Linked DNA regions of Mus musculus. The protein of the gene in region 1 interacts with the protein of each later gene in a pairwise test. Links are inferred from orthologs where the notes say so. Each region holds a gene or a part of one and is shown in the gene's direction. Other genes may lie near its edges. The genes, in order: Dvl3, Syt6, Snx22, Bahd1, Wt1, Csnk1d and Kat7.

The links.
Region 2: the proteins of Dvl3 (region 1) and Syt6 interact in binary tests that used the Homo sapiens proteins (3 or more experiments, as listed by UniProt). The two-hybrid records come from large-scale screens. The link is inferred for Mus musculus from reciprocal best matches to the Homo sapiens genes DVL3 and SYT6.
Region 3: the proteins of Dvl3 (region 1) and Snx22 interact in binary tests that used the Homo sapiens proteins (3 or more experiments, as listed by UniProt). The two-hybrid records come from large-scale screens. The link is inferred for Mus musculus from reciprocal best matches to the Homo sapiens genes DVL3 and SNX22.
Region 4: the proteins of Dvl3 (region 1) and Bahd1 interact in binary tests that used the Homo sapiens proteins (3 or more experiments, as listed by UniProt). The two-hybrid records come from large-scale screens. The link is inferred for Mus musculus from reciprocal best matches to the Homo sapiens genes DVL3 and BAHD1.
Region 5: the proteins of Dvl3 (region 1) and Wt1 interact in binary tests that used the Homo sapiens proteins (3 or more experiments, as listed by UniProt). The link is inferred for Mus musculus from reciprocal best matches to the Homo sapiens genes DVL3 and WT1.
Region 6: the proteins of Dvl3 (region 1) and Csnk1d interact in binary tests that used the Homo sapiens proteins (3 or more experiments, as listed by UniProt). The two-hybrid records come from large-scale screens. The link is inferred for Mus musculus from reciprocal best matches to the Homo sapiens genes DVL3 and CSNK1D.
Region 7: the proteins of Dvl3 (region 1) and Kat7 interact in a two-hybrid assay, tested with the Homo sapiens proteins (2 studies listed by BioGRID and IntAct). The two-hybrid records come from large-scale screens. The link is inferred for Mus musculus from reciprocal best matches to the Homo sapiens genes DVL3 and KAT7.

What each region holds. Positions count from the first base shown.
Region 1 is NC_000082.6:20,515,618-20,519,953, forward strand, and holds the start of Dvl3 (segment polarity protein dishevelled homolog DVL-3), read left to right. Parts: upstream 1-1,368; 5' UTR 1,369-1,577; coding exon 1,578-1,738; intron 1,739-2,021; exon of another isoform or gene 2,022-2,163; intron 2,164-4,336. UniProt on the Homo sapiens protein: Involved in the signal transduction pathway mediated by multiple Wnt genes.
Region 2 is NC_000069.6:103,584,955-103,588,750, forward strand, and holds part of Syt6 (synaptotagmin-6), read left to right. Parts: intron 1-387; coding exon 388-736; intron 737-2,278; coding exon 2,279-2,840; intron 2,841-3,796.
Region 3 is NC_000075.6:66,066,689-66,071,136, reverse strand, and holds the start of Snx22 (sorting nexin-22), read left to right. Parts: upstream 1-1,377; 5' UTR 1,378-1,456; coding exon 1,457-1,531; intron 1,532-1,879; coding exon 1,880-1,963; intron 1,964-2,346; coding exon 2,347-2,451; intron 2,452-2,915; coding exon 2,916-3,010; intron 3,011-3,324; coding exon of another isoform or gene 3,325-3,357; intron 3,358-3,556; coding exon 3,557-3,624; intron 3,625-3,917; coding exon 3,918-4,036; 3' UTR 4,037-4,448. UniProt on the Homo sapiens protein: May be involved in several stages of intracellular trafficking. Interacts with membranes containing phosphatidylinositol 3-phosphate (PtdIns(3P)).
Region 4 is NC_000068.7:118,899,896-118,904,431, forward strand, and holds the start of Bahd1 (bromo adjacent homology domain-containing 1 protein), read left to right. Parts: upstream 1-1,719; 5' UTR 1,720-1,862; intron 1,863-2,003; exon of another isoform or gene 2,004-2,043; intron 2,044-4,536.
Region 5 is NC_000068.7:105,164,501-105,168,296, forward strand, and holds part of Wt1 (Wilms tumor protein homolog), read left to right. Parts: intron 1-2,317; coding exon 2,318-2,468; intron 2,469-3,796. UniProt on the Homo sapiens protein: Transcription factor that plays an important role in cellular development and cell survival. Recognizes and binds to the DNA sequence 5'-GCG(T/G)GGGCG-3'. Regulates the expression of numerous target genes, including EPO.
Region 6 is NC_000077.6:120,967,177-120,970,972, reverse strand, and holds part of Csnk1d (casein kinase I isoform delta), read left to right. Parts: intron 1-1,778; coding exon 1,779-1,950; intron 1,951-2,838; coding exon 2,839-2,978; intron 2,979-3,796. UniProt on the Homo sapiens protein: Essential serine/threonine-protein kinase that regulates diverse cellular growth and survival processes including Wnt signaling, DNA repair and circadian rhythms. It can phosphorylate a large number of proteins.
Region 7 is NC_000077.6:95,303,681-95,307,476, reverse strand, and holds part of Kat7 (histone acetyltransferase KAT7), read left to right. Parts: intron 1-1,280; coding exon 1,281-1,428; intron 1,429-3,796. UniProt on the Homo sapiens protein: Catalytic subunit of histone acetyltransferase HBO1 complexes, which specifically mediate acetylation of histone H3 at 'Lys-14' (H3K14ac), thereby regulating various processes, such as gene transcription, protein ubiquitination, immune regulation, stem cell pluripotent and self-renewal maintenance and embryonic development.

The sequences.
Region 1 (4,336 bases):
GGTTGCTGGGAATTGAACTCAGGACCTCTGGAAGAGGTCTTAACCACTTAGTTCTCTCTCCAGCTCCTGTGACTCTAATTCCAAGAGACTGACACCCTCTCCTGGTCATCTCAGATACCTATAATCTGTGCAGGGGGTAAAAACAAACCTTGAAAAGTTTTAATGCATTTTATTTATGCACAGACATTATTTGGAGAAAAAGATTAAATGAAGGATATAAACTGAAAACATGTAACTGCTACTGAATGCTTTCTGCTTATAATAAAAAAATTGGTTATGATGTAATGAGAAAAAGTCTAGAGAGGTATATAGATGTCAGATTATTAAGGGCCTTGTGTGTCATGTTGAGGGTATATGAAAGTCATATTGGGTAATGTGAAGAGGTTTCTGGGCAGAAGAGGTGACTGAAATGCAGGCATGTAATCAGAGAGAGAACTCAGAAGCTTGAGGCAGGAGAATTGTCAGGAGTTTCAAAGCCACACCTGACATACATTGTTACAGCTGAGAAGCTGAACCACCAACTGACTATAGGTAGTTTTGACATCTACTGTCCCAATCATACAGGGTTTCTCTGTTTAGCCCTGGCTGTTCTGGAACTTGCTCTGTAGACTGGCTGGCCTCCAACTCAGAGATTTGCCTACCTATCCAGTGTTTGGACTAAAGTAATGTTCCACCACACCTGGCTGCTTGCATTCTTTCTTAACTCAAATTTTTTCTTTTCTCTTTCTTTTGTCCTTTTTTTCCTCTTCTTTTCCTTTCTTTCTTTCTTTCTTTTTCTTCTCTGTATTTCTCCCTCTCTCTAAGAGAGGAGTTCCCTCCATAGTCCTGCTGTCCTGAAGCTCTCTGTAGGCCAGGCTGGCTTAAACTCACTGAAAGACACCTGCCTCTCTCTCCTGAGTGCTGGAATTAAAGGTAAGCGCTACCACACCCACTCAGTCCATTTCTCAAACTACTTGTTCATAGAGACGCTGAGATTATAGGGATAAAAACTTGAACTTGCTCAGCCCTCAAGGAACTCAGTACGGTCCGGTGGCAGCAACTGTGCTGTCAGCAGAATCCAAAAATCCGAGTTGAAGCCACCCGGCATCCAGGGATCCAGTTAGGTCTTCAAATCCATTCTCTTCTGCAGTCGGTGACACTTCTCTTCCATCCCTCCCCTCCTGCCCGGGACCCTGCACACGGTTCCGCCAGTCCCACCGGGCTGAGACTTCCAGGTCCAGCTGCCTGAACCCGGAGCACAGGGGACCCAGCGCCGCCCTGTGGGTGGGCGGGCAGTCGGCCGCAAGCAGCCAGCGCGGCTCGGAGGCGGGGCGGGGCCGCACTGGGCTCGGCCCAGAGCCGGGAGGGCCCAGGCCACCGGAAGAGTCGCGATCGCCAGCGGAGCGCCGGGAGTGGGGAGCGGAAGCGGTGGCGGGCGGCGCTGGGACCCGGGAGCGGCCGGAGAACAAGGGAGCTGGCGGCCCGGCCGGCGGCTGAGTGGGGCTGAGCAGCGGGCCGCGCCGAGCGCCGAGCTCTGCCGGAGAGGCCCGGCCCCGCTGCCCAAGCAGGCCGCGCGCCGCGGGGCCGAGGCCGGAGCCATGGGCGAGACCAAGATCATCTACCACCTGGACGGCCAGGAGACGCCGTACCTGGTGAAGCTGCCCCTGCCCGCCGAGCGCGTCACCTTGGCGGACTTTAAGGGCGTTCTGCAGCGGCCCAGCTATAAGTTCTTCTTCAAGTCTATGGACGACGATTTTGGGTGAGGATGGCCCCCGCCCCGCCTCCCGGGAGCCCGGGTCGCTCCGCTGCTAGGGGCCAACACAGCCAGTTCCGACTCCCCTGACTGCACTGGTTTCTAGCCCCGCTTCCAGCAAGGGAGCGACTCGGTGACTTGGGACACACTTGACTTTGAGGGACTCCCAGTCACCTCTTGGAGGCCTTGCCCCCCTGGTCCAGCGAGACGTCCCTCCCTAAGCAATCGGTTCCTACCATTCAAGCCCCCTCACCTCCCCACGGTCCAGCGGCCCCCCCCAGAGACATACATCCTTTCCACTCCAGTCCAAAGCCAGAATTCTCAGTCCTTCCAGGTGCCACCATTTAAGCATAAAGTTGGAGTATATTGACACCCGGCCTGCCTTCCCGGTCTTCTGAGCTCTGCAACTCAGAGCCTTATTTGGAGTGTGCTGTATCTAGGGCTGTAGCTGGTGGGACTTTGAACTGGAGAAGGAGGCGTTGGGGGCTGTTCTACCAGGCTGGATGATGGACCTGATGTTTGTCAAGCAGATTCCCCTCTCCCCTGGGCCGATGGGGTGTTGCCTGACTCAGAGGAGTTCTCACTAGCCAGGTGCTGGGGCCTTTTCTTTCCTGATGGTAGTCCCAGCAGAGATGTTGCATAGGGCTTCAGAGCCTGGATGGGAAGACTAGGAAGGGCCTATTGATGTTCTCTCTTGTCTTCCCCTCCCTACCCTGCTGCAGGGCTTTTGATGGGCAGTTTGGAAGCTGGGACTGCCCCTTTAAGAGAGGTTGGAATGTTGGAGCCTGAGGGTTTTGTAGCAGCTGGCCTGAGAGGGGGGTGGAGGGGGAAGACACACACACACACACACACACACACACACACACACACCCCTCTCCAAGGGGCTGAGGCTTGCCTACATTAACTGGACGGTCGGCCTAGAGGCTATGGAGAACACACACACACACAAACACCCTACCCCTCCCTGGGCCCTTCAAGGCCTGAAGGTCCCTCTGATGCACTTGCCTGAGGCCTGCACTGTGCTTGCAGCTGAGGCCCCAGAGCTGGGTGAGGGGAGATATCCCACCACCACCCCCAACCCCCCGCCCCCTGTGTACATTAGTCTGGCTTCTCTCCCAAGGCCTGCCCTCCCAGCCCCAGGAGGCAAGCACCTTCTGTCTCCTGCCGGACTTATTTGTCATTTTCTACCCCTGGAACTCAGCATTCGATGAATTCTTAGAAGTGTTTGTGTGTGTGTGTGTTGGAGAGTGGAGAATAGATCTATTACTGATTCTGTTCTTGCCCTGGGATGAGACTCTTGTGTGATAATGATTGTCTGGCTTTAGTCTAGAATAGGCAAACCTGGTTGAAAGACCCTGAAAATGATATATCTGGAAGAACTAAGGATAGGAGGTAGGTGTCTCAACCTGGCATGAGAGGAATAAGAGTAGGGTCTTTCTTATTATCCGAAGGAACTGGGATAATATTTCAGGGTATGCTAGGCCAGATGTCTTGAGGGGTTAGAATCGTCTTGTATCTCTACCCGGACTTGCCTCTGGGGACCACTGTGAGCTGCTTCCTGCTTTCCTAAGGTTGTCGTGGGAGCAGGTCTAACTATAGTTATAAGAGGGCCCCCATTGCATCTGCTCACTGCTCAGGAATATCTTTCTTTAAATCAACTATTGAACTAAGTAACATTTATCATATGCCACTTTAAGCCATTTTGTATCTACCCGTGGTCCTTGAAGCACCCTTTGCAAAATATCGGTTGGCTGTTCTACCAGAATTGAGACCAATGCTAAGAATCAAGTGGGTGTTCTTATTTGGCTTATTCCCCCCAATCTACGAGAATAAGTGAGCAAAAGACCCAGCAAGGCCATCCTTTTCAGAGTTAGGATAGCAGAGGATCCCGTTGACAGCTTATTTCATTTTTTATTTTACAAGCCCATCATATGGTACTTACAGTCTGCCTGACAGTGATGTCATCACTTGTACATCTTGCATCTTGGAGTCCTCACACCAGTCTATGAAATGGACACTGATGAAAATCAGGAGACTAGAATGAAAAAGGCCTCAATAAAGCTGACCCTAGGCCACACAGCTGGTAAATGACAGAATTTGTTTGGATATGGGGGACTCTCACTCCAAAATATAAAGTCTGGATCACACCATTGTAGAGGTGTGTGTGTATGTATGTATGTATGTATGTGTATGTGTGTTTGTATAGGTGTCAGAGGGAGAGAGGGAGAGAGAGAACATGAGAGAGAGAGACAGAACGAAAGAGAGCACACACACACACAACACCGGTGAGGAATACTATATTATGTAAATGGCCATTCTATAGATTTCTCCTCTCCAGAAGGATGGTAAGCCTTGGCAAACTGGGAATGTCAGAGGCCACTTCAGGCGGCCTAGGCCAGTAACCCCCGTTGACAAAGCCTGTCAAAGGAGGAAGCCTGCTGGCCTCCACCTCAGGTTCAGAATGTGGGACCTAAGGAGTCCCCAACTCTCACCTGGTCTCCAAAGCTATTTGTGAAGCACGGGGTAGACTTAGTGCCATTAAGTTCCTTGGGAGAGTCAGGGAAAGGGCTCAGTGCATAAAGGCCATTGCCACCAAGCCTGGTG
Region 2 (3,796 bases), on another chromosome or scaffold:
AATTCAAACAGTGCACAAATACGAATACTTCAGGTATTTGCACATTTGATAGAATCTCATTTAAATCACTGTCCCATCCCTGGGCACAAGCCAGAGGCAGTAGGGTAAGCCGCCAGTGCTCCCCATGCTGGTAAAAGGTTGGGGCAGGGTGATGCTAAAGCAACCAGACTGTGGTGAACGCCAAGGCTGCAGACAGTTGACAAAATGGACCATCAGCGGTCCAAACCGTAGCTTCTTCCCGTGACTTGGTAGCTTTGCTCATAACCGTTCTTCTCTCTTCTTCCGTCTTTGTCCCTTCCGTGTGCGCCTTCTTCCAATGCCTCACCTGCGTATCCCCACCTCTGTGTGTCTCTCTGTCCTGCCCTGCCCGCCTCATGCTGAGGGCAGGCACCTCTGTCAGCCTCCTCGCCGTGGTAGTTATTGTGTGTGGCGTGGCCCTGGTGGCAGTTTTTCTCTTTCTCTTTTGGAAGCTGTGCTGGATGCCCTGGAGGAAGAAAGAGGCCTCCAGCCCTTCTTCTGCTAACCCTGCTTCAGAGACTCTCCAGAGCCCCAGCTCCAGAGGCAACATGGCGGATAAGCTGAAGGACCCCAGTGCCCTGGGCTTCCTGGAGGCAGCTGTGAAGATCAGCCACACTTCCCCAGACATCCCAGCCGAGGTGCAGATGTCGGTCAAAGAGCACATCATGCGCCACACAAAGCTGCAGCGACAGACCACAGAGCCAGCATCCTCCACCAGGTGAGTGGCGTGCTCCTCACTTCCTAACTCCACCCCACACCCCCTCCGTGCAGCCATACTTTCTGATCCAGAGCATCAAGTAGATCCCAGCCCCTGAGGATCAGGGCCCAGAACTAATAGCATATGTTCTTTGAGGACCAGAGCAGATGGTGTCAGCCCAGGTGCCAATCAAGAAGAGGAGGTAGTGTCAGGATAGGTGTGATGAACCAGGAACCTTCAAGGTGAGATGCTGTTCATGTGCTTAGCACGTGAGAGTGAATTCGAGAACACAGAAGACTAGACTAGAAGCTAGGTTGAGGAAAGGGAAAACTTCAGACACAGGGACGAGTATACACAAAGGCCCAGAGGCGTGAGAGTTCTCGATGCATTAAGGGCTAGGTTAGTGAAGCCTCGTGGCTGCAGTGTGTCATGCACTGGAGGTAAAGCAAGTGGGCCCAGGCTATTTGAGAGCAAGGATTTCTTTAATGCCCTTTGAGTTCCCCGCATGGCAGTAGTTACATAACATGGCCTCATCTAATTTAAAAGCATACCAAAAACAGACAGGATGGCTTCCTGCTTACTCTAACTCCAAAAACATCCTTAAAAGACACGTTTACTCAGAATTTGAGAATCTTGTGGATTCCTGGATCCCTGTGGTGTGTGTTCCTTCAGGCTCACAGGCACCAATCAAAGGGAAAGAGTACTCAGAGCAGAAGCCAGGAATGAGTGTGCTAAGGTGGCACAGGCTGACTTTGCTGTATGGCTTTGGGCATATAGCTTAAAGTGAGTTATTTCTCACTTTTCTAAACTGTGCAACAGGGCAAATGACTCTGCTTCGGTTGTTAGGAGGAACTACCAAAGAATCCATGTGACAGTGCTGAGAGCTAACACATGTTGCTTATCGCACACCTGGCCCTGTTTTAAACACTGTATCTATTTTACTATCACACAACTCTCGGCAGTTGTTACTTTTACCATCTTTATTTTTGTAGTGCAGAGAGTTTAATCACTTGCTCAAAGTAGCAGGACCAAAATTAACCTATGTAGTCTATCTCCTAAGCCGATGCATTTAACTACTTGACTGTCTGTGGGATGCTAGATCCGTCATGATGGCGGGCAGTGGTGGTGGTGGCGGTGGTGGTGGTGATGGTGGTGGTGGTGATGGTGATGGTGATGGTGAAGGCAGTGGGAACAGTAGTCCTTCTCTTATAGAGGCTCATGCTTTAATGGAGGGGGGGGGGTAGTCATGCTTACCAGGAAAGAAACCTAGAAAGCAGATGTCAGAAAAGCAGGAACAATGATTAAAACAATGGCTAACATTTATTGAGCTTGCTGTACATCGGGCACCATTCCAACTACTTTACATATATTAAGACATACAATGCTTCCAACTGCTTCATGCACAAATGGTATGAAGAGGAAAAGTGGGGTCAATGAGAGGGAAGGAAGGGGAGCCCCATAAGAGGGATGAGGAGCCAGCAGGGTTAGGTCTGCCTTTAGCCCACTCTCCCAGCCCCCACCGAAGCCCTCACGCATGTTTTTTGTGTCTCCTGTGCTCACCAGGCACACATCCTTCAAGCGCCACCTGCCACGACAGATGCATGTCTCCAGCGTGGACTATGGCAATGAGCTGCCGCCGGCTGCCGCCGAGCAGCCCACCAGTATTGGCCGTATCAAGCCTGAGCTTTACAAGCAGAAGTCAGTGGATGGGGATGATGCCAAGTCGGAGGCCGCCAAGAGCTGTGGGAAGATCAACTTCAGCCTCCGCTATGACTATGAAAGCGAGACGCTGATTGTGCGCATCCTGAAGGCCTTTGACCTCCCTGCCAAGGACTTTTGCGGAAGTTCTGACCCTTATGTTAAGATCTACCTCCTGCCTGACCGCAAGTGCAAGCTGCAGACCCGGGTGCACCGCAAGACCCTGAACCCCACCTTTGATGAGAACTTCCACTTCCCCGTGCCCTACGAGGAGCTGGCTGACCGCAAGCTGCATCTCAGTGTCTTTGACTTTGACCGCTTCTCCCGCCATGACATGATTGGGGAGGTCATCCTGGACAATCTCTTTGAGGCCTCTGACCTGTCCCGGGAGACCTCCATCTGGAAGGACATCCAGTACGCTACTAGTGTGAGTACAGGCCTCTTCCCTTGGCTTCCTGAGCATGGGCAGTTCTGAGTTGAGTAAGAGTGTCCTCAGCACTCTGTCCCCCTAGAGGTACATAGGGAACTATGGGAACTTCCTCGTGGCCCAGTTTGCTTTGAGGAAGTCCTTGAACTCAGTCTGGATGGAATAAGGAAGGGAGGGAGGAAGGGAGGGAGGGAGGGAGGGGGGGGAGGGAGGGAGGGAGGGAGGGAAAGAAGCTGTGTTTTTTAATTTTGATTGTAGGGTATGAGTGTTTCTCTCTACCTGCTAAACCTTTAGTTTGCTATCTATACAATCATGTTATATATTCGTTTTAATTGAAAGCGCATCTATGCTGAACTAGTCAGTAGAGTCATTGCTGTATTTTAGAAGTTTGAAATTGGTGATCAAGACCAGGCTGTGTTAGTCAGTATGAACAAAGTCATGCTGAAGTAACAAACAATACTGGGAATTTCTGGCTTAAGACAACTAAGGTTTATTTCTTGTTTGTGTTACATATGCTTCTCAGCCTGCCTGTGGGTTCTACTGGACCTTGTTACCAGGGGACTCAAGCCCACAGGGACCCTATTCCAATGTGTGTTCCCACAACTAGACATCAGGATGAAGAAGCTACAGCAAGGCAGGCAGCACTCTGTAAAGCTTCCAGGCAAAGGTGACATGTCACTTCCATTCATATTTCATTAGCTGAAACCAGACACATGGAGTTCTTTATCTCGACAAGGCAGGAGCAAAGCAATCCTGCTATGTCCAGAAGGAGGGCTTCAGCCGCTTACGAACAGCACATAGCGCAGTGCCTCATTTGGAGCATGGTCCTCTCATTAGTCTGGGAGATGGGCCACATCCACACACAACGTCTGATCCTAGCCTGCCCGCCATCACCTGAAATAGGCCCAGAAAGGTTTCAAAGAATCAGGGTTTAATTTTTTTATTTTATTTATTGT
Region 3 (4,448 bases), on another chromosome or scaffold:
TTGTTTGTTTGTTTTGTCTTTTTAGTTAACTCTACCTGTAGCCATGTTGGCAATTCAGAATAACCATCACACATGACCCAGTTTGAGAACAGAACACTGGGCCATTGAGCACTTTACCTAGAGCCCAGTAAGGAGTGTGGGGCTGAGGTAGAAATGGAAGCCATTTCTGTGTTTACACATGAAGTGATCATTCTGTCTTGAAATCTTACTATAGCCAGGCAGGCACACATCTTTAATCCCAGTACTTGGGAGGCAGAGGCAGGCAGATCTCTGAGTTAGAGGCCAGCCTGGTTTAAAGATGGAGTTTCAGGACAGCAAGGGCTACACAGAGAAAACGTATCTACATATTTAGAAAAACCAAACCCAAACTAAGCAATGTGCCAAACAAAAATCCTACTACATTCTGAAGAAGACCAGCAGGGCGGATGAGAGCAGCTGGGGCCACCGCCTCTACACTCATTTTTGTTCCTCTTCTCTACACACATTTCTGTACCTACTTCTTATTATCTGTCCATCATCACCCATCCATCCCAGCTGAACAAGCCCATAAGGAAGCCACTATTGGGTCCTGGCTGAGTTGCTCAAGCTGACTTTGAATTCCTGGTTTCAAACAATTCTCTTGCCTCAGCCTCATAGATAAGTGGAACCCCTGGCCCGTGCCGCCCAGCTTCACTCAGTGTTTATACTTATGTTACCTGCTTTACAGCTGTGCAGAAACTCCACACAGTTCTTGATATCTAGGCCATTCGACTTTCAGTGCCAAGCCTGGGTTTTTAAACTGCCTCTTCCCCATACACTAGCTTGAAGCAAACTAGGCATGCTAAGGTAGGAAGGATGAATGGATGGACGGGTGGATGGAATAAATGAATGGTTTGTAGGTGCTCATCAAAGCTAGAATGGATCCCAGCCTCACCCCGGCACTACCTCAGTTGGAGTCTTCAGGTGGTGCTACCAGGGACCACATGAAAGAGGGAAGGTTGTGGTGGCTAGGTTCTCTAAGAACAAGGATGGTCCTAACCGGAAGCCCAGACCTGAAACCCACTGTGCCTTCCTCTGACACCTTAGCATCCAGGACATTCAACAAAGACCAGGTGAAATTTTAGAGAGACCAGGTAAAATGTACCTCGGCTGACTACCTGGGATACTAGGGAAATGTTTGACAAATGGGTGACCCTGCTGAAGGTTCCTTCCCTTGCATGGCGACCCATGGTGTTATCTTCTGGCCTCAGGACTTTAGTGAGCCAGGGAACACCCTGGGCGTGGCGAGGGCGGGCTCCCGTATCAGAGGGTGGAGCCTGGGGCTGAAAAATCCAGAGAGTGGGGCGGAGCCTACGGCCCGGGGGCAGGGCCTGGAGCCCGAGGGCGGGTCAGCCTCTTAGGGCTGCTTGGCTGCTCCAGGGAGTTCGGGTGCCCAAGCGCTCGATCCGGGAGAGGCTGCAGCCGGGTCGGGGCGCGGATGCTGGAAGTTCACATTCCCTCGGTGGGGCCCGAGGCCGAAGGGCCCAGGCAGAGTCCAGAGAAAGGCCACATGGTGAGCAAATGGACGAAGAGTGTGTGCGGGGATCTACCGATTATCTTCGCGATCAGCGCAAAAGGGACCCAGAATTCAGGGCTAGGACATTCGTCGCAAAGGTTCGGGGTTACTTGGCTTTGCCAGCCCCTTGGACAATGGTTTGGGCTCTTGAGGGGTCGCTTGGAGCAGAGGGGAGGGCCGGTTACCCTTTTCTTTCAGGTGTGTCTGGGGTTCGGAAGGGGTTTCCCTGATGGTGGCACGCCAAGTCGGCTTTGTGCCTTTCTAACACCAGAAATTGGGCGCGTCTCGCGGCGCGGGTCCTACTGCATCCTTTGGACCCGCCGTCTGCACTCCTCCGCCCGCCAGGTGTTCCAAGTGGAGGTGCTGTACAGCGGACGCAGACACACCGTGCCGCGGCGCTACAGCGAGTTCCACGCTCTACACAAGCGGGTGAGATGTCGCGGACTACCCACCGATTTGGCTCCAGGCCAGGTCCCTCGGTGGCATGAGAAAGAGCTCTGATCCCAGCTTCTGGTTGGTCACCCCCATTACTGTCCCAGCCCCCAGGAGGGTGCAGATCATAGGCGACTCCCCCTGGGCTGCAGGGCCCCTCGCGGGGAGGACGCAATGGCTAGAGCTCAGCTCAGACTGACCTTGTCCGTGTGCGTCCTTTCCACTCTCTGGCTTGTCACTTCTGTCCCAACCACCTCTTGCCAGCTGTCCCAGGTTGAAGCTTAAAGACAGACATATAGAGAGGACTGGAGAAAGTCCTCAGCTAGATGCAGTGGGCTTGAGTGCTTTGCTGGGAACTCACCTCTGTAACTGATGTACAGATCAAGAAACGGTACAAAGTGCCTGACTTTCCCTCAAAACGCCTGCCCAACTGGAGGACCAGAGGACTGGAACAGCGCCGGCAGGGATTAGAGACCTACATCCAGGTGTGCACGGGGTACACTTGGTTGCCCCTAAGTCTGAGGGACCAGGGGAGACCCAGTTAGAGATGTGGGAGTGTGTTGGGTCCCACAACTTGGGGTTGTTATTCAGTATCTCAGGCTCTTTATCCAAATGAGTACGAACTTTTCTATCTGGGTTATTGAAAGTTTTGAATAATCCAATGAGTAGATTCTTCACCCTTAGGGTGTTTTCCTGTATTTTCTTCATGAGGTGTGTGTGGACTCCTTCCTCTAACAGTGATAGTTATTTGACTAGCCTGCCCACTTTGTGGTGCTAGTCTTTGCGGTTCATTCCTTAGGATGACCCTGAGTTTGGGCTAATACTTATTTCTACTGCCTTGAAAGTCTTCATTATTTTGGAACAAATGTCCTCAAAATTGTTGTAATGGGTTGTGCAATTAGTAGCTGGATCTTATCTGATTGCAGACTTTCTCTGCCTTCTTCTCTAGGGCATCCTGTACCTGAATCAGGATGTGCCCAAGGAGTTACTGGAATTCTTGAGACTTAGACATTTCCCTACAGACTCCAAGACCAGCAGCTGGAGGTAAGGATAACCCTGCTCACGTGGCAAGGCCCTCGGCCGCAAAGGGAACCTTTAGGATAAGCTTTTTTCCTTTTTGAACGGACTGGGCCCTGGCCTGGTTCTGATACACCGCTTCCCTCATCACCTTTCCTGACTTGGAACAGGGGCTGCTTTTTGGTGGACAGCTTTGGTTACTCTAACTGCCTTGCCTCCACCTCCGGAACTGGGCTTGTTACAAAATAGAAGCAAGAGTCTCCTGGGCTATAGTGTCTCCACCCCCTCCTCACCATCCCCCTGGGTATCCTCAAGCAACTTAGTGTTTCTCTTCTTTTCAGCACCCTGGGGGAATTCCTGCCTAGTGACACCAGGCAAGTCAAAGTCCTGCCCTAAAGGCCTGCTGACCCCTGGTGGTTGTGTGCTAGGAGGCAGGCCAGCAGCCTGTTAGCCAGTCTCTTCCTTTTCCTCTGTGGGTCCCTGGGGATGGATTTTGGTCCTCAGTGACCATCCCATGAGCCTTTGCGTCGCCACCTCTCCACTCTCACTGTTCACAACTCCTCTCTCACACAGCTCCCAGCTGCACCACCGGCCGGTCATTGGCTTCTGTATGGATCCCTACGTTTGCACCCCTTCCCCAGGTGAGTTCCCATCAGCACCTCCCTCCTGTCCTCTGGGGTTACCACCTGCTGCTCCTGTAACTGGCAGCTTGCTTTGTGACTAGTAGAAGCTAGTGTAATACAGTTGGCTCACCAGGTCTCTGTTCCCCTGGGGCCTGTCTTCCAAAGCTAGTATGAATAGATGTGGAAGAGAGAAAGCCACTGGCGCCTCATTCTGGGTAGACGGCTGAGCCTGTGGGCAGCTCAGAGTGCTGCAAGCTCAAGGCCAAGCGTATCACCTGCTAGCTCCTTCTCCTTCACTGTCTCCCCCACAGAACCTCTCCCAGAAGTGGTGGTGGACGGCGTGCTCCAGGGTCTTTATGGCTTCAGCACCAGCCCGGTACCAGCCCAGCCAGAGGCTAACTGTCATCCTGCTCCATCACTAGTGCCCTGACTAGCCCAGGCATTGGGCCACCTTTCAGGACAGCTATGTGCCTCAGTCTCAGGAAAATGGGTCTTCCCTTGGACTAGACTCAGGTGTAACTGGCTGAGGCTCAGATGTGCCCATCCCCACTCAAAGCTCTGAGCCTGGTTTGCACTGACAGCTGTAGCTGGTAGAACTCAAGACTCTTAAAAGCCCAGGGGTCGTGGCGAAGTCAAGATAAAGAGAAAGGTGTGAGGTAATTTCAGAGGTAGGCTGAGAAGAGTCAGGTGTATTTTCTAGCCCAGCCTGACAGGTGTAAGCTTAAGATGAGGCACAGGAGCTAGCTAGAAAGTCTCTGCCTGGTGAGTGGGTGGGTTGCACTAGTACAGGCTAAGGCAGGAACCCGGGGGAGGAGCATGCGTCCATCAGCACAGAAGAGTCC
Region 4 (4,536 bases), on another chromosome or scaffold:
AAAGCTGCCCGGGTCAGTGCACGTCAGTAGCACGGTCTAGGAAAGGTGGGGAACTGTATAGAGCGCAGGAGGAGCCCCTAAGCCACTCTCCGAGGCTCGATTTTTCCTGCTTACTAACCAGGCTTCCTCAGCACTCTGGGCGCTTCTCTGCCCTAGGCGTTCCAGGGCCCAGCCCCTCCCCGGCTGCTCCCAGGCTCGGGTGACTTGACACTACCCTTTTTTGCTCCTGCTCCTTTACCTCCCAAAGCGCCCCTCCCCCGCCTGAATTGGAAATGAGGCTTTGTTCAGGGGTGGACTCGGTATTTCTCAAGAACCTACTGTGTGCACATTACAGCTCCTTGAAGTGAAGTCCTGGGCTGGCTCTGGCGCTACAAGGTGTCCAGGACACAGCCCCTTCCCGCACCTCCCAGGGACTTCCCACCCCTTCATATGACCTCAGCCTGCTGTGCCCACCCACCCAGCTGACCCCGAGAGCGTGCTCAGGCTTGGAAAAGCACGTCTGTGGGTGTGAGAGACGGAGCCACAGCATAAGGCGACTATGGGGAAGCTAGGTAAGTGTCTGCACTGGTTCTACACTAGCTTGGGGACGCGAAGGAGTGTGTCCAGCCGCGCCTGTTGGGCTGCCCGCCCCTTTCCCTCTCCACCGGAGAGCTCTGATGTTCCCCGCGGTGGTGGAAGAGGGTGTGTGGGTGTCAAGGACTCACAGACCAGACTCTGCTGTCAGCTGGAAATGGATGAGGGTTCCACACTTGGCTTCTGAAAGAGGGCGAATTGGGAACTGGGGTGGGGGGCGTTAGGTGAAGGACAGAAAGAGGAAAAAGAGATGCGGGTGAGGGGTTACCGAGCCAGGACCGACCTTGCTAGGAAGGAAAGGAGACGTGGCAAGCAGGGAAGTCGGAAAGATGAGGCAAGGGCGGGAGGGGCTTCTCAGGAGTCGGGGCCCTTTCGCGCGAGTCTGGGGCCCTTTCAGGAGGAAAGGGGGTGTTGTTCTTGCTTGAATTTTTCGGTTGGTCTTCCCGAAGCTTTGCCATGGGGGCAGCAGCCTGAGGGTGAGGTGCCCCCTCGACCCTCAGTTTACTGTAGCCGGTGCTGGAGAGGTTACGAGGAAAGAGGGATGTAGAAGGGTGATGGTCAGGGAGGGGGCGCGCTAAGATTTTTCAGGGTGGGGGTCTGCAGTGAGGTGCTGGGGCTTCAGGGTCAGGTCACCATGGGATACTGGCTCAGGCTCCAAAGACCAGGAGAAAATACAAGAAGCCGGCAAAGAAAATCATCCCCCGCCACCACCCTTGGCACCGTACCCCTCCCCCCAGGCCCCACCACTCCCCGCACCGCCTCCCCCGGCCGCCTCGTGCTGCCCCCTGCGTCGGGACGACCGACCCACGATTCTGATTGGTTGGAGACCGGGAGGGGGAGCCGAGGGCCGGATTGGCTGGCGGGGCCAGCGCAGGGCGGGGCGGCTGATTGGCGGAGCTTGCCGAGGGGCGCGCCGCTGATTGGCTGAGGACGAGGAAGCAGGAAGGAGGGCGGCGGAGGCTCCGCTCTCGGGGAGTTTGTGGGGGAACCGCGAGCGGCGTAGCGGATCCCGGAGCCCGGCCCCCGCTGCTCGCCCGTCCGGCCGCCTGCCCCGCCCGTCCGGCCCTAGCCGTCCGCCCGCCCCGGCCAGGCGCGCCCGCCCCCCCCGACGGCCCCGCCCGACCGCGGCCCCCGCTCCGCCTGCCCGGCCCCGGCCCCCAGGAGGAGGCGCTGACGCAGCAGCGTGGAGCCCGGGAATTGAGCGCCCCCGGGGGGTTCCAGCCGCCGGATTCCAGCCCGGCCAGGGCCTGCGGGCGCCCGAAGCCGCGCCGTCCGCGCCTCTCGTCCCGGTGAGCTAGGAGCCGGGATCCAGGAGGGGGTAGGGGAGGGCGAACGAGCGAGAGCGAGCGAGCTAGGTAGGCGGACTAGCAAAAGGGAGAGGACCGGCCGCCCGTCAGCGCGCCCCGCCGAGCGCGCCGCGCCGCCGCCCCCGCCAGCCCCGGGAAGGGACGGACGGACGACAAGAAGCAGGTGCGGCTGCTTGCCCGCCCGCGCGCGCCGCCTCCCTCCCCCGGGTCCGGCGCTGCGGTCCCGCCATCGGGGAGCATTGCGCGCCTCGAGGTGACAGCCCCCGGGGGGCGCCCGCCTCGCAGGCCGGGGGCGGGGTGGGTGGCGGCCGCAGGGTGGCAGCTTGGCCGGGCGGCGGCGGCGCGGGCGTCCCGGGCTACGGAGGGCGGGAGGACGCGGGGTGCTTCCTCGCCGCGGCGGAGCCGGCTCGCCTCCGAGTGCGCGGGCGGCAAGGCCCCCGCCAAGCCCCCTCCCCCATCGTGGTCCCGGAGGCTAGGGGCCGCGGCTGGGGGCGTCGCCGCGGGAGCGCCCTCTCGGGGTGGGGGGCGCCCTCCCGGGTTGGGAGCTGACCGGCAATTGCCGGAGGGGGGATGGGGATGGGGGCCGCGTCAGGGCGAGGGGTAGTGTGGACTCGATCGGGTCGGGCTGAAGGAAGGGAGGCGCCGAAGACGGAAGGGGACCGGTTCGAACAGCGAGTGTGGGCCGCGGGAGGCCCTGTGGGGACCGTGCGGGGCGGCGGCCGAGTCCGAGGTGGGGCGGGGGGAATCGAAGTTGTCAGACCGCCTCCAAGTGACAGCGGGACCCGGTGCTCCAGGCCTGGCCTGGTTGTGCCCTGCCAGTCCCGCCGCCTCTCCTCTGGGGCCGTGGACCGGGTCAGGTCGGGCCCAAGGGGCCCGCTCGGCGGTGAAGAGCCGGACAAAGGCGGCGCCCGAGCGGGCGCAGGTAGTGGTATCGGGGAGGGGAGCGAGTCCGGGGCACCCACCCCAAGGGGCGGGCACGGGGCCGGACTCTGCCCTGGGGACTGCGGGGGCCGGGGCGTCCACCGGGAGGAGCTGCGGCACTGGCTCTGGTCTGTAGCCGCAGATATCCTCGCGGCTCCGGGAAGAGTGGGGTCGACTTAGCCAAGGCGGAGGGGCAGGGTTGAGGGGTGTGCGCACCGAGTGCCCTGGCCGGTGGCGAATGGGCTGGTGGACTCACAGAGGCGAGCGGAGCCTGCTAGCAGTGAGGCTTTCAGCAAGTCTGCCTCTCGGTAGAGGTTTAACTCCACCTGGGATGTCTCCTAGTGGCCCATTGTCGGCAGTCTTAAGAGCACAGGCGGCTACTTGGATTGGGACTAAGGGACCCCACCCCCCAACACACACACCCACTGTGCTTGGCGATGCCTTCACTATTGCTGTAGCCGTCTTCCTTGGGCAAGAAGGTACCCACATAGGGACATGATAAAGCTGAGTCCATAAATTGAGGCAGAAATTTGAAGACATAAAATAAGGTTTCCAGCTTTCTTTTGTACCACCTGACACGTTTCTCCCCATCTTCTACCTCCATAATCTTCCACCAACAAGGAAAGCCTCAGAGAGACCACATTTCTTGGGGACACCACTGTTCTAGGACACTTTGGGATCTCTGGCTTAAGCTGTGAGCGCTAACCCCAGCGGGTGAGCAGCTCTAGGCTGTATGATGTTTACCCGTTTGAGAAAATCCACTCGGCTCCGGTGCCCCTCCTCATGTGATTAAGTTGGGAACAGGAAGAGAGGAGTCTCAGGCTGATAACAGCTGAGAACATGGCCTTTTGCTGAGAAAAATCTGGGTTGGAGTGGCACACCAGTGGGACTGGTCGAGAGCAGCACTCGGCTGTGTTTGGCTCTAAGCCCACCGTGAGAAAGCTGCTGTCTGCCAAAGGAGCAGGAACAGGGTATGGAGTTCATTCATAGCACCCCGGCGCTCTCTCCCCAGGAGAGTCTGGACCCCAGCTTGGGTGGAGTTGAGGCTTGTGGGGAAAGGGGGTATTACCTCACACAAGAGACTGAAGTTTGTTGGAGAGAGTTTAATTGTATGTCTAAAATCCAGAGAAGGCTGGAGAATCTTTCCTTTTGCTGGGGTTGCACTGTGTGTGATTTCTTTTGGTGGCAGTCAGAAGGGTGACCTGGTTTGGCTGCTGGAAGGTGGGAATTGCCAAAATAACATTTCCCTCTGTGGCAGGGGTTTAATCTGGCAGGAGATACTTGTCTGTCAGATGAGTGTTTGGGAGGGCTGGCCCTGGGGAGTTGAGCCATTAACTGAGATGGTTTTGGTAGCCATCTCTTTCTGTCCCTCTCCTCCCTTGTTTCTCTCCTGTACCTCTTATCACTCTAGAACGGATGCTAGCCTGGGACTGGCAGCAAGTCTCTTCTCTGCGTCCTGGTGTGCACTACCATTGCTGGGGTTGGTTTGTTCTTTTTGGTGTCTCCCTCCCTCCTTCCCTCTCTGTTGCCATGTTCCCGGGTCAGTTTCTTCCTGCTTCCTCTGGCTCTTCTGGTCCAGTCTGTACACAGCTAGCTACCAGATCTTTCTTCCGAAGCACCCCTTCCACATGTCAGTTTCTTACTCAATTGTGCTGGCTTCTTTTTGCTGCAGTCTAACCCTAGGCAATGTCCCTAAGGCTATTTGCTAGTCCTGCTGAGCACTTTTGTCTGTCCT
Region 5 (3,796 bases), on another chromosome or scaffold:
TGTATGTATGTATGTATCTATCTATCTATCTACTTATCTATGTATCTACGTATGTATGTATGTATGTATGTATGTATGTATGTATGTATGTACCTACCTATCTAGTATTATACAGCATAGGTTACTGTTTCCAAGGTGCTCACTACCTATACATCATACCCCTTTCCCATTTCTCTCTTCCCAACAATTATCGCCCCTTTCTCAGAACATTCTTGGATACTCTGTGTGGCATTTTCAGGTTAACTTCTTTGACTTAGCCACTTGTGTCTATGATTCCTGCATGTCTATGCAGGCCTTTGTTCTCTCATGTGACCCTCACTGCACACTTAAGAGAGAAGACAAAAGACTTGTCTAAAACCACATAGCTAGTAAGTGGGAGCTCAGGTGTACAACACATATTTTATCAGACTCCATAATCCTTGTTTGGCTGATTAATATTGTTGATTGGTAGAAATAAAATAATATTGTTGATCAGTGGAAACAGGAGGGAGAGATCTCCAGGGTAGGTGAAGAATCTCAGAGAATGTAGTGTATTCAAGGGGAGGCCCTACCTGGCCCCAAGCCTCTTTTGGATAGTCAGAACCACAATTACCAAGGACTCACATCTGTTATTTACAAATGCAATTCAGTGGCTGCCACAAGAGAAGTAGCTAGAGTGTCCTTTGGAGGGAAGCTAAGACCCTGAAAATAAGTTGCATGTGGGCCAGGCCCTATGTGGTGTGGGCAAGGAGATCTACTTCATGGAATTAGTAAAGTGTTCTCTGTTATCACAAGACTCTCTCTGGTGAGGAATAAACAAGTCTCAGAAATGCAGAGATGTGATAGAAGGAGTTATGTGAGTGTCCCACAGCAGACACCATCAGCATCATTCAGAAGACGGCAGACTGACAGTAACGGCTGCTTTTAGTCTTAATCCTACATGGTCTTCATCTCAGATGAAAAGAGATGAAGAAGGCTTATTGTGCCTTCCTTCCTACCAGACTCCGTTTATCAGATCCACTGTCAGAGCCTCTAGTAGACACCACACTTGCTGTACAGGTGTTATTTCCCCACTTACTCTTTTTCTTCTACAATATGCTAAACAAATTACTGGCCTATGATTCATTTGTATACCACCATTAGCCCTGGTAGAAAGGCAAATATTGACATACATTATGACCTACCAATACAGTACTGAATTTCTCCTTACAAAAAAAGTGCCCTCTCAGGGCAAGGGAAATGAACTAGTAACAAGAATGTGAGTGTGTGAATGGGCAGATCGGAAGATACATAGAAGAGGGAGTTACTAAGCTTATAGCAGTGGTTCTCAACCTGTGGGTCATGACTCCTTTGGGAGTCATATGTCAGATATCCTGCATATCAGATAATTACATTATGATTGATAACATAGAAAAATTACAGTTATGAAGTATCAATAAAATAATTTTATGGTTGAGGGTCACCACAACATGAGGAATGATATTAAAGGGTTGCAGCATTAAGAGGGTTAAGAACCACTGGTTTAGAGATTGGCCCAGGTCTTCATACCATCACAGATGTGTTCCTGTGTCAGCTGTCCATGCCTTTGGCCTTGATGGACACATCTGTAGTTGAACAAGGAGGAATTATTTCTAATATCAAGGAATCACAGCTTAAGGGCAAGAAAGGAGATTTGTTTTCCCTGCTAAATGACAGGAACTGGTAGGTGTTATGGAAATAAGACATAAAAGTCACAGAAGGTGGACAGCGCCCAGTGTTTTCCTGTGTCACTTTCAAGGATCATGCTGATTATACTACAGTAATCTGGTGGATTCAGAGGCCCCAGATCCAAAGACTTGTTTATCATTTATTTAGATGTGAAGCTTAGGTCCTTTTGGGCCTCATTTAGTGTCTCATGTCTTCTCCAATAAGAACTTTCTCATCCATTTTTCTGGCTGAGTCCATAAACAAATGGTCATGTTTCCAATGGGGAGGCATGCATACCCTCTGGGGATCTGGAATTCTATCTCAAGTGAGAGATAGATTGGGAACTCTGTAGACACTAATGCTTCTTCTCTAGAGGTTCTGTGTCAGGGACACCAAGAAGTTTCATTTCAAATCCAAGTTCTGTTGATCAGTTGTAATCAGAATACTGCATCATGAGATTTCCTAATCTATCATCCGTTAGTGATGTCTGTCACAGGTATCTAGGGTATGGAAGCAAACTTTTTTTTTTTTGTCTCATATCATTACCTTCCTTCTCTTCTTTTGGTATATTTCAGCGTTCTGTTTCCCATGGGATAACATTAATGTTCACATATGGCACAAGGTCTCCATGCCTCTTATATTTTGCCTGCAGGATGTGCGGCGTGTATCTGGAGTGGCCCCAACTCTTGTCCGGTCAGCATCTGAAACCAGTGAGAAACGTCCTTTCATGTGTGCATACCCAGGCTGCAATAAGAGATATTTTAAGCTGTCCCACTTACAGATGCATAGCCGGAAGCACACTGGTAAGTGTGTCCACTGTCGAGCCATGGTGCTTCATGAGCCTCCATTCTGGACTCTGACACTGCTCAGGTCACAGGTGACTTGTGGGGTAGAAAGGTTGTGCTTTGAAAGCTCAAGCCAAGGTGACTCTGAAGCTGCAGGGCTGTTGGCATGTTGGTTTCCCATCCTTTATTAAAGAAACCAACATTTTCAGCCATATCCAAGGAAGCAGAACAGGGTGGTGAGAAGCAAACGCCACAGAATAAAAGTGACACCTGTTTGAACGTTGCATTCACCACCAACTGATGAGACCTTGAGCCACCATCGCTCAACATCCTTCTGAACTCGGAGTGCCTTGTAAGGACAATGAGGATGACAATGCTGTATACTGTCGTGTATAACAGTACACAATTTTCAAGCCTTGCACTTTAATTCAAGCTGTGCTACAGGAGTTGTAGCTATAACACACCTAGCATAGGACCTGTGTCTCCTGGACTGAATACATGGTAGTGTTATTCCTGAAGCACTATTATCATCTTTAACAGGGAAGACAAGCCTGGGATAGGACAATCAGGTGGCTCAGAGATTGACAGGCAAGGTCACCATAAACTTTGAAGGGTAGGTCCAAAGACACACATAGATGTTCGGGAATCAGTTCTTTGATAAAGAAGGCCGTGAGGTTTCCAAGCAGGTTGTACCAGACGTTTCTTTCACCACTGTCACTGAACACCTCACAAATGGCTTCCCTTTGGCTCACTGTTTGGGAACACAGTCTATCACGGCTGGGAATGTATAATGTTGGGAACATCCTTAAAGCAATGGGAGCATGAAGGTGATCATTCATACCTCTGGATGAAGAAGCAGAGGGAGACGGAAGATGGGAGATGAGAGCCAGAAGTGCACCAGGTTATGTCTCCAGGGCCACAACCACAGCAGCTTGCTGTTTCTTGTTAGGTTTCACATCCTAAAATGTTCCACAAGATCTCACACACTATGAGCTTGAGACCAAGGGGTCAAATGCGCGAGTCTGTGGGAGACATTCCATTTCAAACCATAAGACAGCATTGCCGAGCAAGCAGCCTTGTGAAGGGTGTGTGCTTAGCATTTGGATGGGTAGGAACGGGGACATAAAGATGAAGGGCGAGGAGGGTTCAGAGTAGTGAGGTCAGCTACAGGAGACACACAGAAACCAGAGAAGCACCAGAGGTCTTGAGACAGGAAAAGAAACTTGGAGCTGTCCATCAATGGAAAGACCCTACTGACCACGAAGTAGCTAGCTCTCCATCCCAGAATCCAGTGAGTCAGAATTCTAGGAGGTGGAAACATTTGTAGAAACTCAGTGCACTCTTGG
Region 6 (3,796 bases), on another chromosome or scaffold:
TGAGAGAATTTATTTTTTTAGGGTTAGCCTTTGTGTGTGTAAGAAAGAGAGTGTGTGTGTGTAAGTATGTCTGCATGTATATATGTAAACAATGTGTATGCCTGTGCTGTCAAGGTCAGAAGAGGAGGTCGGATCCCCAGAAACTGGAGTTAGAAGCTAGTGTGAGCCTCTGTGGGTACTGGGAAGCAAACTCAGACCCTCTGTAAGGGAGGCAAGGGTTCTCAATCACTGAACTTTGGCTTTCCAGGTGCTACAAGTACTGCTGTCCCCATGTCCACCTTAGATTATTCCAGTTACTATAAGAACTTGTGAATTCAGCTACCTGTGGTGGCATGGCATGATGGTCTGGGCTGGCAGGAAGCTGGTGGTATCTTAAGCCCTGTCCCCCCTCCTCCTCCAGCACCCCTACCCCCATCGCAGATCTAGTGTATACCTCATAAACCTCAGAAGAGCCTCTGGGTAAAGTGCCTGGTGTTCTGTCTGAGGTGACCAACCCTGTAATCATCCAGGCGGTGCTGCTGCTAACTTTAAAGGCTTTGTGAAACTTGCATGTCTATTTCCATTAAAAATTTTTGGACTGGGCATGATGGCTCACACCTTTAATTTCAGCACTCAGAAGGGCAAAGGCAGGCAGGTCTCTTTGATAGTTTGATACCAGCGTGCTCTATATAGTGAGTTCCAAGCCAGCCAGGGCTACAAATTGAGACTCAATAAAATAGAGGAAAATAAAATACATTTCTGAGCCAAGCACAATTGTACACCTTTCTAATTAATTCTAGCACTTGGGAGGCTGGTTATTAGCTTGAAGCCAGTCTTGGGCACAAAACAAGACCTGTTTCAGTGGAGAATTGTTTTGTAATTTGAAGTAGAGATTAGAGTCTTTGTAGGTAATGTATCTAGTCAGAGGAGCAGCAAGAACTGTGTCCTCTGTGTGCGCACCAAGGGCCTTGTCAGCTGCGCCGTGTCAACTCACAGGGGCAGGGCACTGTGAACTAGAAGTACGTGGGCCTAGTGCTGCTTGTGTGGATGTTGATCAACCAGGGCTTGGAAGATGACCCTAGGGGGTGAGCTGGCTCACAAGATGCCTAGACCTTCTGCTATGGTGGGGGTTCAAGAGACAGCTAAGTCTAATTATTAAACAGGCAGCACAGGGAAGTGCTTGCAGGTGCCTTCTGTGTCACAGCGGTAAGAATGATACATTGACTCTGATTTCTGCTCCAGGGGAAATCTGACTCTTGTCCTTACCATTGGCCTGTATGTAGAAAGGCTGGCATTGCCATGGCGTCTGAACTCTGCCTTGCTCTACTCCCGGTCTTAGGCAGTCTTCTTTCCTTTCTCTAATGCATTCACATGCCAACACTGATAGGTAGGGATTAAGGTGGCAGGTTGTACCTGTGAGTTCTAGTATGGTGGAGAGTGCAGAGGGACTATGGCCTTCCTGGTACTGTGCAGGCATCATTCCTGTGAGAGCATGGACTTTCTGGTGTCGCTGCCTGCTGTAGGAGACTTCAAAGGGCACTCTTCTCTTCTCCTTTTGTTTTGTTTTGTTTTGTTTAATTTATTTATTTTACTTATATGAGTATACTGTAGCTGTCTTGAGACATATCAGCGTTGATTTCCATTACAGATGGTTGTGAGCCACCATGTGGTTACCAGGAATTGAACTCAGGACCTCTGGAAGAGCAGTCAGTGCTCTTAACCGCTGAGCCATCTCTCTAGCCTTTTAAAAAACCACCAAGGCTATTTTCCTCCTGTTTATTCTAATCTTTCCTCATCAGGGTGCCAGCCGGGCTGCAGATGATGCTGAGCGGGAACGCCGGGATCGAGAAGAACGATTAAGACACTCCCGGAATCCAGCCACTCGTGGCCTCCCTTCTACAGCTTCCGGCCGTCTGCGGGGAACCCAGGAAGTGGCTCCCCCAACGCCCCTTACCCCTACCTCACACACGGGTAAGCACACCTCTTACTGTGCTTCACCAAACTAGGACCTCTGTTTGCTGTGTTGATGAATTGCTAACCATCCCAGTATGTGACTGGATTAGTCAGTTAAGGCCAGCCTGGTTTACATAGTGAGATATTGTCTCAAAGAAAAGAAAGAAATTTCCCTTTTATAAGACTTGTTTTAAAGTTAATTTCCCTGAAAGTTGTTGCTCATGGGGCTGGAGAGCTCGCTCAGTGGTTAAGAGCTCTAGCTGGTTTTTGTAGAGGACTTGGGTTTATTTCCTAACACCCACATGTCAGTTTTTACACTGTCTCTCTAGTTCCAAGGGAACTGACACTTTCTTCTGGATTCCTTGGGCACATGGTACAGAGATGTGTAGGGAAAACATCCACACACGTAAATTTTTTTAAAGTCTAGCTCTCATAGATTTTCTCAAACTTTTGAATACTCGGGGCTGACTTTTATATTGATAAATGTAGGGCCTTAGAATGCATTCAGCTACCATCAGGTTTCAGTTGCTGAGCACTTGAACTTGAGTTGGTTATGTGTAGCCCTGAGCCAGTTAATAGATTCAGGATATGTACTTGGCTAGGGTCATTAGTTTCTGCTGTGCCTACAGGCTTATGAGTTTTTTGTGTTTGTTTGTTTTTAGATAATTAGGCGTATTGTAGGTGTTTTTCTCGTGTGTATATGTGCTGCCTGTGTACCCAGTGCCCATGAAGGTCAAAAGAAGGCATCAGATCTCCTGGAGCTGGGGTAGCGATAGTTGTGAGCCACCATGTGATACTGGAACCCAAACTGGGTCCTTTCTAAAAGCAGGTGCCTGCGGCCATTGAGCGCTCTCCATCTAGTGGGTCCAAGGGTATTTAATAATTATGCTTTCTCTTCCTCTCCAGCCAACACCTCTCCGAGGCCTGTCTCTGGCATGGAACGAGAACGGAAAGTGAGTATGCGGCTGCACCGTGGGGCCCCAGTCAACGTCTCCTCATCTGATCTCACGGGCCGACAAGATACCTCTCGCATGTCCACCTCACAGGTATGCATGTAGAGCTCACTGAGGCCTAGCTGCGCCAGACCTGTGTGGGGTGCATGTCCTTGTCACTGTGTGCTGACACTGGCTCTCCCTGCCTTTCTTTAAGGACTGATCTTTTCAGGTTCATAGTCAGGAGTGGGGCGACATTTGTGAAGACTGTATTTCCTTTCTTCCTCCCACATTTTTTCTTATTTTTGTGGATATTTAACCCATTGGAACCTGTGACTTGCTGGGTTTCTAAAGGGTTTGTTTCCTGGCTAGGACTGTAATGGGCTGTGAACTCTGTGTGAAGCTTTTTCTCTTCTGCTCGATCTCAAAGGGACATCCCTATCCCTGCCCCGCCGCCTTCTCCACCAGTGAAGACAAAATATACCTGTTTGCTTTGTACCTTTTGTTGGGGAGACGTCTGTCGTTGGCACACCGACTGGGTTTTTATAACTCGATTTGTGTTTGCTAGCCAGGCTCTCGTTAGAACACCAGAAAAGGCACTGGCTGCATAAGAAGGGTTCCCGTGAGTGATTGAGCCTTAGAGGTGCCAGGCTGTAAGGTGTCCTCTTCTGTTGCCCTGTCTGTCTCTCAGGAAGGAGGTACTCAGGGAAGGTAGGGTAGTGTGAACTAGTTCCCAGGCCTCTTCCTCACAGATACTCGCTCATCCACATCTGCGTCTCCTCCTCTCTGTGCTTGCTCAAGCCTTTGCATTCAGCACTGCTTCCTTCAGCAGTCTACACTACACTTCCTTTTCTAAAGTAGGGTCTCCCACTGATGGGGGGGTTAGGGTCAAGGATAAATTTGAGGAAGCTCTTGCAAGCACCACTGCCCTT
Region 7 (3,796 bases), on another chromosome or scaffold:
ATTTAGTTTTTAGTATAAATTCCTTTCCAGCAGCACTTATAACATCCATGTGGAGAAACTTTGAGGACTGATGGTTAAGAAAATAATTTGTATCTTTTTTTTGGTTAATTTCTTTCAGTGGGTAAGAGCACCCGACTGCTCTTCCGAAGGTCCAGAGTTCAAATCCCAGCAACCACATGGTGGCTTACAACCATCCGTAACAAGATCTGACTCCCTCTTCTGGTGTGTCTGAAGACAGCTACAGTGTACTTACATATAATAATAAATAAATCTTAAAAAAAAAAAAAAGAGCTCCTAGAACTGGAGCTCCAGGTAGTTGTAAGCTGCCATGGATGTTGGGAATTGAACCCAGGTCCTCTGGAAGAGCAGCAAATGCTCTTAACCACCAAACCATCTCTCCAGCCCCAAGAACATACTTTGAAATGACCCCGGTCAGGGTTTCTCTGTAGCTCTGGCTGTCCTGGAACTCTGTTATGTAGACCAGGCTGCCCTGGACTCACAGAGATCTTCTTACTCCTAGGATTAATGGCATACACCACCATGCCCAGCTAATATAATTTTTATTATATTATAATATATAATATAATTTTTGTTGATGGAGAATTTGAATAAAATTTACCCCAAAGTTCAGTGAGGCCTAGCAATAACATTTTATATGCCATCTTGGACTTTTTCTTTTCCTTTTTTTTTTTTAAGGTTTAGTTGTACTATTTTAATTATCTGGATGTGTGTAGGGATGTGTGAGAACAGGTGCCTGCGGAGGCTGGAGGTATTTGGCTCCCTCTGGAGCGGGAGTTACAGACTTCAGTTGTGAACTACCAAGTGGGCAAGTGCTGGCAAATGAACTAGGGTCCTTTGCCGGAGCGGCCTGTGCTGTCAGCCACTGGACTGTGCTTTTTCTTTCGTTTGTCCTTTTTATTTTTTTCTTGACTAGCCAGACCATTTTGATTTGGGTGTTTTGTTGTTGGGTTGGGTGCTTTTATTTCCAATTTCTAGTGATTCAGTCCAGATTGTTTCAGAATTAGTGATAATACACGAAGAATTACTTCTCTTCTCGGTCTGCTGAGTACAGGTGGTTTGGTTGTAGGTCATTCCACTAGCATGTCTGAAAGGAAGGGCAGCGCCTCTGCACAGCAGGGAGGGGAAAGGCTGGCTGGTGGTGGAGTCCTTCCTTATGTTGGAACTTGGTACTTCAGCATCATGGTTCATTTTACTTCCAGTGCTAATAGAAAACTGTAGTAAATGCTTTTGTGCTAATGTCTGGATCTATGGTATTGCAGAGAAATGCAGGCAGTAGTTCAGATGGAACCGAAGATTCCGATTTTTCTACAGATCTCGAGCATACAGACAGTTCAGAGAGTGATGGCACCTCGCGCCGATCTGCCCGAGTCACCCGCTCCTCAGCCAGGCTAAGCCAGAGTTCCCAAGGTAAACATGTTTTCCTTTCCCCTGACTTCTTCACAGTGGACAGTGGTGTCATTCTGTTGTGCTGGTTCATAGGGATACTGCTCCTGAGCTTGATGGAGAGCAGTGGTTCTCAGCCCTCCTAACACTGCGACCCTTTAGTACAATTCTTCATGTTTTCGTGACCCCCCTCCTTTAAATTATTATTTTTTAAAGATTTATTGTGCGTACAGCACCTGTCTGTGTGTGTGCCTGCAGGCCAGAAGAGGGCGCTAGATCTCATTATCGATGGTTATGAGCCACCATGTGGGTGCTGAGACCTCTGGAAGAGCAGCTGTCTCTCCAGCCCCCCATTAAATAATCGTTGTTACTTCATAACCATAGCTTTACTAAGGTTATGCATCATACTGTAAATATCTGATACGCAGGATACCTGACATTTGGCCCCTGTGAAAGGATCATTTAATACCCTACCTACAAAGGGGTTGAGACCCACAGGTTGAAAACCATTGGTATAGGTGGTAGAATGGTCAAAGTGTAAGGCAGCTGCTGAAATACTCGGTCTTCAAAGTGGTTTCTGTCAGATGTTCTTTTATAGGCAGTGGCTTATATAAATGTGAGATGCAGGTGTCTTGAAGACTGTATGGCGTTCGTTATAGGTCATCGTAAAACGATAAAATGGGAATGTTATCTCATCACTATAAAATGGCTTAAGAGTTAAATTGCTTATTGAGTGTGTCAGTGAGATTTAATGCTTCTAAAGGTACTTTTAATTCTAGAATATAGAGTCACATTTGATAGAATAACTTTGAATAAATATTCAGAATGTTGCTTTGGTAGTGAAATAAACAAAAGGCTTGTGGTTAGAAGTACTTGGAAGGCTCTCTAATGTATTTAGTCACTTGGGCTTATGTAGAAGTAGGCTTTTCCCCTCCTAGTTTTATTCAGCATGGAAGAAAGGTTTTTCAGCTAATATACAAAGGTGGTTATCAGTCTGCAACAATAGAGTAAATGGGAAATTATAATATGGCGTCGGGTGTGGTGTTGCACACCTTTAGTCCCAGCACTTTGGAAGCAGAGGCCCGCAGATCTCTGAATTCAAGGCCAGCCCCGTCTATATAGAGTGTTCGAGGCTAGCCAGAGATACTGAGACTCTGGCTTTCAACAAAAAATAACCAAAAAAGTAACTGTGTGTGCGTGTTTTATGTATGTATGTATGTATGTATATATATATATGTATGTATGTATATGTATGTATACATGTCTGTACACATACAAATAAATAAAATGATTTGTTAACAAATCCTTTGGTCAGCCGGGCATGGTGGCGCACGCCTTTAATTCCAGAGGCAGGCGGATTTTTGAGTTCAAGGACAGCCAGGGCTACACAGAGAAACCCTCTTGAAAAAACAAAAAAACAAAAACAAAACCTTTGGAAGCCCAGGGGTGGAGCAACCACATTCTGTGAGAAGGTCTCCTAGAACAGTCTGGAGGAGTCCAGTAGGACTTTGCATATTGAAGATGAGCAAAATATTTTGGGGCAGAAGGAATCATATATACAAAGAGTCATAATGGTTCTTAGACACTGCAGTTAGCTATGCCCTAAAGGTGATGGATATTCAAAACAGAGCTGGGGGGGGGGTCTCTGTAGTTATTTTATTTCATGGCCACAAAGCTACACGATCTTTGGGAGCATCAGTCACAGGGTTTCCTAGTGTGAAGTATAGACAGACTTGTGAAAAGATATAAAGATACCCTAAAACTATATAGTCTTTGGACCCTGCCTGCATACCAACTTACCTCTCCTGACAGTTTGACAATTTCAACTTAGACATTGTCATAGGTTGTCATTTAAAATACTCTTCAGTTTTAGCTTTTATTTTATTTCCTTTAAGAGGCATCAGACTAGAGATGTGAAAGGTCTCTGAAAGCTTTAGAAGAGGGTTCTCTATGGGAAGAACTTAAGGGGCTGGAGAGATGGCTCAGTAGTTAAGAGCACTTAGTTGTTTTTGCAGAGAACCTGGGTTTGACTCCCAGCACCCACATGGCGGCTCACCCCACCGTCGGTAACTCCGTATGAGTACAAGGGTAGTCAAAGAACAAGCAACCTCCTCCCAAATATAGTTTTAGGACATCTGTATTATGATGGGCTATATATAGCAAGGGAAGAAACAGGCATGTCGCTAATATTGGTAAAGAACTCTTTTCCCACTGGGGGTAAGGCACACACGCCTTTAGTCCTAGCAGCTCAGCAGACAGGTGGGTGGATCACTGAGTTTGAGGCCAACCTGGTCTACAAGGCGAGTTCCAGGGCTACACTCAGATTCTGTTTTGGAAAACAAAAAAACCAAGACCTTACTCACAGTAAGTAAGCGTGAGGAATATACTACTA